Linked DNA regions of Mus musculus. The protein of the gene in region 1 interacts with the protein of each later gene in a pairwise test. Links are inferred from orthologs where the notes say so. Each region holds a gene or a part of one and is shown in the gene's direction. Other genes may lie near its edges.

The links. The genes of interacting proteins can lie anywhere in the genome.
Region 2: the proteins of Nudt18 (region 1) and Paics interact in binary tests that used the Homo sapiens proteins (3 or more experiments, as listed by UniProt). The two-hybrid records come from large-scale screens. The link is inferred for Mus musculus from reciprocal best matches to the Homo sapiens genes NUDT18 and PAICS.

The regions. Positions count from the first base shown.
Region 1 is NC_000080.6:70,576,317-70,581,099, forward strand, and holds the start of Nudt18 (8-oxo-dGDP phosphatase NUDT18), read left to right. Parts: upstream 1-1,507; 5' UTR 1,508-1,632; coding exon 1,633-1,794; exon of another isoform or gene 1,795-2,191; intron 2,192-2,595; coding exon 2,596-2,809; intron 2,810-3,017; coding exon 3,018-3,613; 3' UTR 3,614-4,783. UniProt on the Homo sapiens protein: Mediates the hydrolysis of oxidized nucleoside diphosphate derivatives. Hydrolyzes 8-oxo-7,8-dihydroguanine (8-oxo-Gua)-containing deoxyribo- and ribonucleoside diphosphates to the monophosphates. Hydrolyzes 8-oxo-dGDP and 8-oxo-GDP with the same efficiencies.
Region 2 is NC_000071.6:76,949,580-76,954,524, forward strand, and holds the start of Paics (multifunctional protein ADE2), read left to right. Parts: upstream 1-1,722; 5' UTR 1,723-2,240; coding exon 2,241-2,256; intron 2,257-4,945. Other genes in the region: Ppat (amidophosphoribosyltransferase), read right to left, coding at 1,378-1,505. UniProt on the Homo sapiens protein: Bifunctional phosphoribosylaminoimidazole carboxylase and phosphoribosylaminoimidazole succinocarboxamide synthetase catalyzing two reactions of the de novo purine biosynthetic pathway.

The DNA.
Region 1 (4,783 bases):
TGGCCTCAAGTCAGAAGTGTCCAAGTGCCTGAAAATACTGTGGGCCACTAACAGTGCCCATCCAACCTCACGTAGATTTCCTCTTCAGGGAGTTTGCATCAGCATCGGGGAGAAGAAAGGCTGAGACCAGTCCCGGAGGGCTGAGATCGCCTGCCAGTCAAGTCTACAGAGCACAGATGTGGTTTTGTGGTGCTGGGAATTGAACTCAGGGCCTTGTGTATGCTAGGTAAATACTCTACCGCTGAGCTATACTCCCCAGTTTCACGGTGTGTGTGTTCTTGTATGTGCAGGTGTGCTCTATGGACTATGGCTTTGAGACCCTACCTGGAGAACAGGTGGGCTGCCTGGTGACGGTGTTCAGATAGTGCATGGCTTCTCCCAAGCTCTCTTGGCTTCTCAACAAGTATGGAAAAGGAGGGCTGTTACAGACCTACTGTACAGATGAGGACATTGAGGCCACCCAGGGCACAGAGCACGTCAGTCAGCAGAGGCTGGATGTCTGGCTTTTAAACTCCAGAGCTTTGTCAGTACCATCAAGCCACTGTCCCCCAAAGGAGGTACACAGAGCCAGCAGTGGGGGAGGAAAGGGAAGTCTGGGATGGGGTGAGGAGCCCAGACTTGGCCTGCTTTGTGGATTCCTCTCAGCTGGCCCTGCCTTCCTGTCCTGAGTGGAGGTTAAAGAAGCTCAGAGGAAGAAAGGTCAGGCTGGGAGAGAAGCAGGAGCTGGCCAAAACAACCCACACCCTGTTCCTCATGACCAGGCCCTGGACGCTGGGTAGGAGGGCACCACCCCTGCCCTCTAAAGATGGAGTCTGTTTCAGAAGCCTGGGAAAAGCATTGGGCACAGGATCGGATGCAGGCTACAGTGCTGACTTCAATCTCCCTTTCATTCATCCCCCCCCCCCTTAGCTTCTTCTCATCCCCAGCCTTGTCCCACCTTGACCACCTGTCCCATCCCTCCTCTGAGGCTTGTCAATCACGTTCCCCATCCCCCACCCCACCCCCAAACCAATCCTTTAGCCTCGGACTCTTAAAATGCCCTGTGTCCATCGACCTAGACAGATCAGAATTTCTAACGCAACGTTATGTGCCTGAGCCATACCACATTCAGAGCATTTTAACGAAGTCAGAAAGTTATTTGGGGCCTATTCGTCGTGAGCACTTCTGTGGTTCGTTTATGATAAAAGCTGGACAGTGGGAGCGAACGGCGGAGTCTGGGCTTCCGTAATGTCATCGGACGAGTGACGCCATCGACCCTGGTCACAGTGGTGTTCATCACCCTACAGGCAGGATGACATCACCGTCGGAACCCGCGCGGACAAGTGCGTGCTGGGTGAATTAGCTAATCGCTAGGGAGAGTGTGAAGTGAGGCTGAAACCCAGGAGAGGAGGGGGCAGAGGGAGGATCCCGGCGCCCCGCCCTCCCGATAACCGCTGCGAGCTGGCCAATCCGGGCAGGCCGCAGTGACGCGCAGCCTATCAGCGACCAGGTCTCTCCCGGAGGTTCCGTGTTAGTCTTGGCCCTCAAGTCAGGGGAGGGGGCGAGGGCGCCGCGGCCCACCGCAGCTCAGGTCCCGGCCGCTTGCCTCCGGGGGTCTGGCAGGTCCCGGCTTGCCACCTCCCCGGAGACTTGATGGCCACGGAGGGCCTGGCAGGGGCGCTTGCCACCGTGCTGGGGGGAAAGGGGTTGCTGGTGCAGAGCTGTGACTCGGAGCCGGCTGGGAAGCCGCTGTTTCCCGTGCGGCTGCGGAAGAATGTCTGCTACGTGGTGCTGGCCGTGTTCCTCAACGAGCAGGTGAGCGTCCGACCGGCCGCTGGCCTTCGGCTGGTCTCGGGAGCGTGCCGCCTGCCCTGATCTGAACAGGCGAGCCAACGGCCGCTGCCTGTATGTGGCGCTTCCCAATGTTGCAAAGCACTCTCAACACTAGCAGCTGAGCTGAGATCGTCCTTCTGTAGACTCTATAATATGGAAGGAGAAGCCGAGGTCCCGGGGCGGTTTATCTCATCCACTAGACCTCGCCCCCCACCAGGAGAGGCCTGTAATATGCCCCCTTCCTTTCCAGGAGTCTAGACTCTCCCGGCGCCTCGGGAGAGTAATGGGGAGCTTACATGCAGGCCTCCGATCCTGTGAGAGTTCTTTTTAGTGATCACTTCTGCACAAGTCAGCGTTATAAAATCCTGGCCAAGAAGGGGTAGGTTGGTATAGGGGTGGAGCTAAGTTTCAAAGCCTCAGACCCTAGATTGAGGACTTGACACAGGCGGTTTGTAAGTCCCATGGGAACAAGAGCAAGACAGTGGCATAAATGAGTCAGTATAGGAGTGGTGGCAACCTTCAGGAGGAAGCCTCCTAGAGCAACGCCCAAGGTCCTCAGCCCCTTTCTACAACAGAAGTCCCTCTGGGTTTGAGTTACAGCAAAGCGGAGACAGCCACTGCTTTCAGCCATATCAGGGCCTGACTCCTGAGGATCCAGCATCCTAAAGGTGTCTGTCTACCAAGAAGGGAGCTTTGGGCTGCCATCCAGGTAGGGGCTACTCTTCTGAAGCCCCCAGACTGGCTGGGTAGGAGTGAAGATTGTCTCACTTCCCTCCCTCCCAGGATGAGGTGTTGATGATACAGGAGGCCAAGAGGGAATGCCGGGGGACATGGTACCTCCCTGCAGGAAGAATGGAACCAGGAGAAACCATCGTGGAGGCCATGCAGCGGGAGGTGAAGGAGGAGGCAGGGCTGCTCTGTGAGCCAGTGACACTGCTGTCCGTGGAGGAGAGGGGCGCCTCCTGGATCCGCTTTGTGTTCCTCGCTCGACCAACAGGTATCCCCCACCTAGTGACATTTCTCACGGTCCCTCATCCATAGCCAGCCATACTGTGGGCTTCTGCTTATGGCCATTGACCTACTACGGGCTAAGAGCTTTTGGGGGTCTCTCTCTCTCTGGAGTGTTGGGGTGGCCATTTACTCTCTCAGGCTCAACCCTTCTCATACTGGCCCTCTTCCCACCCCACCCCCCAAATCTCTCCTAGGCGGAGTTCTCAAGACTTCCAAAGATGCTGATTCTGAGTCCCTCCAGGCCGGCTGGTACCCACGGGTCTCCCTGCCCACACCGCTTAGAGCCCATGATGTTCTGCACCTGGTAGAGCTAGGCGCCAAATTCTGCCAACAAGCCATGCACCCTCTCATTCTGCCTCAAGAGCTCCCCTGCAGTGTGGTCTGCCAACGGCTGGTGACCACCTTCACAACAGTCCAGTCGGTGTGGGTGTTGGTGGGCACGGTGGGGACACCTCACTTGCCCATCACTGCCTGTGGCTTTACCCCTATGGAACAAAGGGGCGGCATCAAGGTGGCCATCTTGAGGCTCCTACAGGAGTGTCTGACTCTGCACAGTTTGGCAGTGGAGACCAAGGGGTTGCTTGGGTTGCAACACCTAGGCAGAGACCATGTGGATGGTGTCTGCCTGAATGTGCTGGTGACCGTGGCTTTTCGGAACCCAGGAATCCAAGACGAGCCCCCAAAGATTCGGGGTGAAAACTACTTTTGGTGGAAGGTATTAGAGGAAGATTTACAAAAACTGCTTCTGTACAGACTCCAGGAATCTTCTGTGATCCCCCTGAGCAGATAGAGAGATTCCAGCAGGGACCAAAAGCTGAGCTGCCCCCTCCCTCTGAGGCAGAGAAAAGGCTGGCAGTCAGGGATCTCATTGCACATTTTGAGGGGGCAGGGACCACACATTGAGCCCAAAGGGAGGGTGTCTTGAATCCACTTTTCAAGGGCTCAGTTCTGAGGGCACACAGTACTTGTCTTTTAAGTTGGTGAGGAACTTTTTGAACCCTAAATGGCACCATCTTTGTCCACTTTGGAAAAGGCTGCATGTCAATCCTTCCAACCCCATAGGAATGTAGAGAGGGATGGGACATGGGGGACGCATCCCTCAGGGCAGAGTCCTCATTGCTGAGTAAAAAGGTATTGCTTAACCTGCCTGCTTGCCTAAATGTCTGTGTGGGGAGGATATGGGGCACTGTCCCACCCACAGTCACCCAGGTCTTTCCTCACCGTGTACACACTGATGCTATGCAGGGATGTAAGGATCCTGAGGCAGACATCGATGCTCGCTGAAGCCTCGACCCACCCAGGCTCTTTTTAGTGTTCCTGTCCTGTCAGGGCGGGCGTGGGACTTTGAAGTGACCACACCCCTAATAAAAGCACAGCTCAGACCTGTCCAGGTGTTGAACGGTTCGGTCTGGTGAAACTGCCTAGGGAACAAGAAAGAGCTGAGGATGACACGTTGGCCTCTGCCAGTCTTTTTCTCTTTGAGCTTCCTGGGCTCTGACCTGTTCCGTGTGCTCTCGGACCTGGCTTTTTGGTTTTTGTTCATGTCCCTGTCCTCAGTTCATGTCGCCCAGGCAGACTGTGAACTCTTATAATGTAGCTGGTGATGACCTTGACTCATCCAGATTCTGCAGAAGTCAAGCCCTTTTATCAATGGGTTACACTCCCAGGCCAGCACAGGATTCTGTTTTCTTGAGATAGACTCTGCCCACATAGACCAGGCTGACCTCAATCAAGTTTGTTGTGATCTTCCTGCCTCCAATTCTTGAGTCCTGGGAATACAGATGTGCTCCAGCATGCTGCTGCTTATCATTAGCATCATTATTATTATCTGATGAAAGCTTCGGAGCTGGCGAGGTGGCTCCGCTCAGCAGTTAAGAGCATATGCGGCTGGCTCATGCTGAGGACCTGAGTTTGGTTTCCAGTCCTTGCACCAAGTGGCTCACAACCACCTCCAGCTTCA
Region 2 (4,945 bases), on another chromosome or scaffold:
AGTCACAGAGAAACTGTCTCAAAAAAACAAACAAAACAAAAAAAGTAAGTATAGGAAACATAATAACATAGTGACAAGTCACTAAGAATAAGTTGTAGTTTGTTTGTTTATCGAGACAGGGCCTCATTGTAGCTATGGCAGGCCTAGGATTTGCTATGTAGCCTCAAAAGCTCCAGATCAGTTTGCCTCTGCAGACCTCTCCAGTGCTTTGAGCTAGTCACTGCACCCAGCAAGTTGTAACTAATTTAAAAAACAAAACAAAACAACAAAAAACATAGTCCCCTACACCATATACATACACACATTCTCAAAACAATTTTTTTGGGGGGAGGGGGGTTCAAGACAGGGTTTCTCTGTATATATAGCCCGGGCTGTCCTGTAACTCACTCTTTAGACCTGGTTGGCCTCAGAACTCAGAAATCCACCTGCCCCTGCCTTCCAGTTGCTGGGATTAAAGGCATGCGCCACCACAGGGTGGCCCCAGATGCTTTTTTTTAAATAAATGTATGCGGAGTATGTAGAATGTCAAATAAGACTCTGCAAAAGGACAACTTCTAGGCTAAGTCTGGTAAGAATAATCATTAGTGATGCATGTAGCACCCACATTGATAAAAAGGGTTACTGCCCAGCTCTGGTCTAGACATTGTTGCTACTGTATTGTAAAACTCCGTGATAGAATAGTTTTTGAAGAGAGACAAAACCCTAGTTTGTATTATTTCCATAATACTGTCAGTGAAGTCAAGAAACAAATTATGGAGGCAAAGGTCTTTTTTTCTTTGTTTGCCCCAAAGGCATCTCCCAATTTCTCATAGCTATAACTACTTTTAAACTCACGATCTCCAAACCTCTAACTGCTTTCAGGCTGACAAATCTGCTCAGTAGCTCTGCCCTTGCAAACAAAGCTCTTGCAAGCAGGAGGCCCCGTGCAAAACAACAACAAATAGAAAAACCTTCAAGTGTTGCAGGACCTTCAGCACCACCACCCTACAGAAGCTTATCTCTAGAACAGTTCTAGTTTCAAGGAGATCTGAACGGTCCCTTCCCAACCTGGCTAGTGAAAGCAAACTCCAGAGTAACTAACCCGCGACGAGAGATGCACATTCTTGGGAGCTAACCTGTAAAGAGCACTCGGGAGCAACGCGACAGCCTAAGTTAAAGTCTATGCAGGCAAAGTGTACCCCACCCCCACTTGGTCAATATCCTGAGTAGGTACTTGACTTGATTCTCGAGATTCACCCTCCTAGCCCTGATCCCCCCTTCCCAGTCATGATCCACCCTCATTGTCTTGCGTTCCCCGTAGCACAGAGCTGGGAAGCGGCTCGTGGAACTGTGCAAATACTTGCCATTCCACCCCCACCCCTCCATCCTGTTGCTCACCGGTGCTGTAGCCCCACGAGTCCCAGAGTGATCACATGCGGCACATCTAGCTGCGTGGGCCAGTCTCCAGAAGCGATGCACCCAAACACACCACATTCCTCGCGGATCCCCAACTCCTCCAGCTCCATGGCGCCTCGGAAAGCACGTGGAGGGACCTGCTGCCGCGGCGTGGTCCAAGCACCAACCAGCTGTCCGCTCCGCTATCGAACGCCTCAAGAGGCTCGCGCTACTGACTGCCTCCTTCCCGGGCGGGCTAGGTTCTCGCTACTGCGGCGGCGCGCTTCATAGAAGGGGCGTGACCAGTTCTGCCTCCCGCTCTCCGCCAATCAGCTAGGGCAAAGAGAGGGGCGGGGCTACGGAGTCAAAGAGGTGGGGAGGAGGCCGAGGTCAGGATCGCTACTTTCTCTGCACGTGGGAGGCTCCGTTATTTTCCCGCGCCCAAGGAGTAGGTGATGAGAGTGGCGCAGCTGATCGCGTGGGTCCCTCAGAAAACCTGAGCCGTTCGTGCCCCCTGGTCTCACGCCGTCCCCCGGCCGTCAGGACTTGGTCCGCTCCAACCCAGAAACCTCTCCGGCCAGCGGGGGCCTTGCAGCATGCGCGCCACTTTTTGGCTGCCTGCGGGGAGGGGCCGCCCGGAAGCGGGGTCGCGTCAGCGCGCCTGCGCGGCGGGAAGCCTGGGGACACGACTCCAGCCCCAAGCACAGCCAGCCCGGTACTTCGGGTTCGCCGGTGGGCTGTGGGGCTAGGGCGTGTCCTTGATATTGCACCTCCCTTTCCCGCCCTCTGATCCTGTGGTCGCCCTTGTTTTCCAGAACACTGCCCTTTTTTCCCGCGCGGTCTGCTCCTCTAGTTCACCTCGGATAATGGCGACAGCCGTAGGTGAGTAACTTGCTTTCGGACCCTAGGGTCCCCCAGCCCTCCGTCAGAGAGCTAGCAGGCTTGACGCATACACGTGCGGCCCCGAGGTCGGATGCAGGCCTTCCGACAAAGTGCCTGATCGGGTTCCCCAAGACGGCGCCTGGGGCCCGGAGCCTGCACACATGGTCCAGGCGCTGGAAGACGTGCGTTAAACTCTTAAGCACCCAGAGCCTATTTAAATAGCCAAAAGAAGGCCCCGGGACGGGAAGGAAAGTAGCAGAGTGGGAAAGTACTCTGAAGGTGAAATGGCCAGAAACTAACCAAGTGCCTAGAAACCTTGTAATAAGCAGATAAACAACCAAGAAAATCTATCAGGGTTTTTGTTTATTCTGGTAAAGTTAATATGCCAATAATCTCCTTTACTGCAAGTTTCGTAGTTTAAAGTGTTTGAAAACAGGTCCAAAATTTTTTGATCAGATGCTTCTTTGCAATCCCTGGAATTTGGGATTGTGGGCGTGGGCTAGTAACACCCTTAGGATATGGGTGTGGAGAGTGCAAAGTTACTTTATCCACTAACAAAACACTGTCTTGGAACAACACAAGTTTCTAGATTAATAAGGAAGCAGATCCTGTGGGCACTCCAACATTCTTTCCCACCTATGAAAACCACCCTGAAGTTTATAGGTAGTACAGCTCCATAAAATTGGGAATTAGGGCCAGACTTTTTCTGAGACAATCCACAGCGCCAGTACTTCTAAACTAGTAAAAATCTTAGAATCTAACCTCTTCCCCACATCTGATGTGGCCCTGTGCTGACAAGGGTCCGAAGAAGGTGTTCATATCTATAGTTTAATTTTGAATGGCTGTAAACTACCCTATAGATTCTGGGAACTGGACCTGGGTGCACTGTAAAACATCGGAGTGTTCTTAATTGCTGAGCAATCTCTCTGGCTTCTATTTTACTTTGTTGGTTTTGTATCCGTGGTTGTGTGCACTTGAGTACAGATGCACAGAAGCCAGGGCCTGTCTTGAAGCAGGAGTACACATGAGCCACCCAGTGTAACTGCTGTGAACTGAATTTGGATCAAGTATTGACTAAAACTCGTGTCTCCCATATTAAATCAGTATCTTGTGTCTGTTGCTCTTTAGTATTTAGCAGCCCAATGGTTCTTGGGTTAAATCTACATAGCTAATGAGTTAGTAATGAACTAGATAGAAGGCAACAGTGGGTCAGGCTGAGTATAGAGATTTTCAAGAGGACACAAACATTAAGGAAGTTAGAGTTCCAGAAAGGAAATTTACAGCTCAAAACTGGAGTTAGACCATGAGGGGCTTTTTAAACTTTGTTAATTCTTCTAAACATTAAGTTAGGAAGATGGCTATATTCATCTTTTACCTCACTGAACTATAGTGGAAATATTAGACAAGTTATTTATCACCAATGTCAACCAGAATCAAATTTAGCGTAGTTGAGGGAAAAAAATTACATTTATTTAGTGCTAATTAGAATTGTAATCTTAGATACCCAAAGGCAAGTAGGTTGGAATAGTGTATTTAGGGTTTTTTGTTGTTGTTGTTGTTTGTTTGTTTTGTTTGTTTGTTTTCAAGACAGGGTTTCTCTGTATAGCCCTGGCTGTCCTGGAACTCACTTTATAGACCAGGCTGGCCTTGAACTCAGAAATCCACTTGCCTCTGCCTCCTGAGTGCTGGGATTAAAGCTGTGAGCCACCATGCTCGGCGGGTTGTTTTTTCTTTAAAGGTTTATTTAATATATATATCAGTACACTGTAGCTGTCTTCAGACACACCAGAGGAGGGCATCAGATCTCATTACAGATGGTTGTGAGCCACCATGTGGTTGCTGGGATTTGAACTCAGAACCTCTGGAGGAGTAGTCAGTGCTCTTAACCGCTGAGCCATCTCTCCAGCCCCAGTGTATTTAGTTTTTACAAGATGCCCTTTTTATGGTTTTAAACAAGAAAGCTTCATAACAAATCATTCACAGCAGTATAGTTAATATTACCAAAAATTGGGATTTCTGATGAGAAGAAAACTATCTCTGGGTAGTTTGGGGGGAAGAGTCAGTATATTGTAGGTAACAGGCTGTAAAGCTGATGTTCCAGAAATGCAGTTTGGTCCACTCCAAAGGTCATCTCACTTAGTTGTGGCCAACTAAAATTTGATCCAAGAAAGGAATTGGCCTCCTGCATCCATTTTTCCGTACACTGCACCAGTGATAGGCCATTGATTTTTCTTCTTGGACACTTAACTGCTTCCTGTGCCAGCTGGTGGTGTGACCTGATCGGCTCTTTAAGTTTGGGGTTTTGTTTTTGCCTATTTGGTTGTGTCTTGATCACTACCAAGCTACACGGTCCTGGAACACTAAGTGCTTAGCCATGCTGACCTTGCCTTGGCTGCTTGGTCTTTCAATTACCCCTTGTTAAAGTCTGATCTTTTTTCATGTCTGTTCAGCTTTTACTTCATTCTCGACTTCTCTGTAGGGTGTGCCTGCTGTGAATAGTCTCTACCTTGTATTTTATTATAGTTTCTTATCAATTGCCAGCTTCCTTCGAGACTTAGGTCCCCTGAGAGCAGAAACTAGATTTCATTTGCTGTTCTGTCCACAGGCCCTGGCACACAGATACATTGGAAAAGTACTGAGGATGAGTGTTGCAAGATACCTGATCACACTGTGAACCCCAAGGATGCGT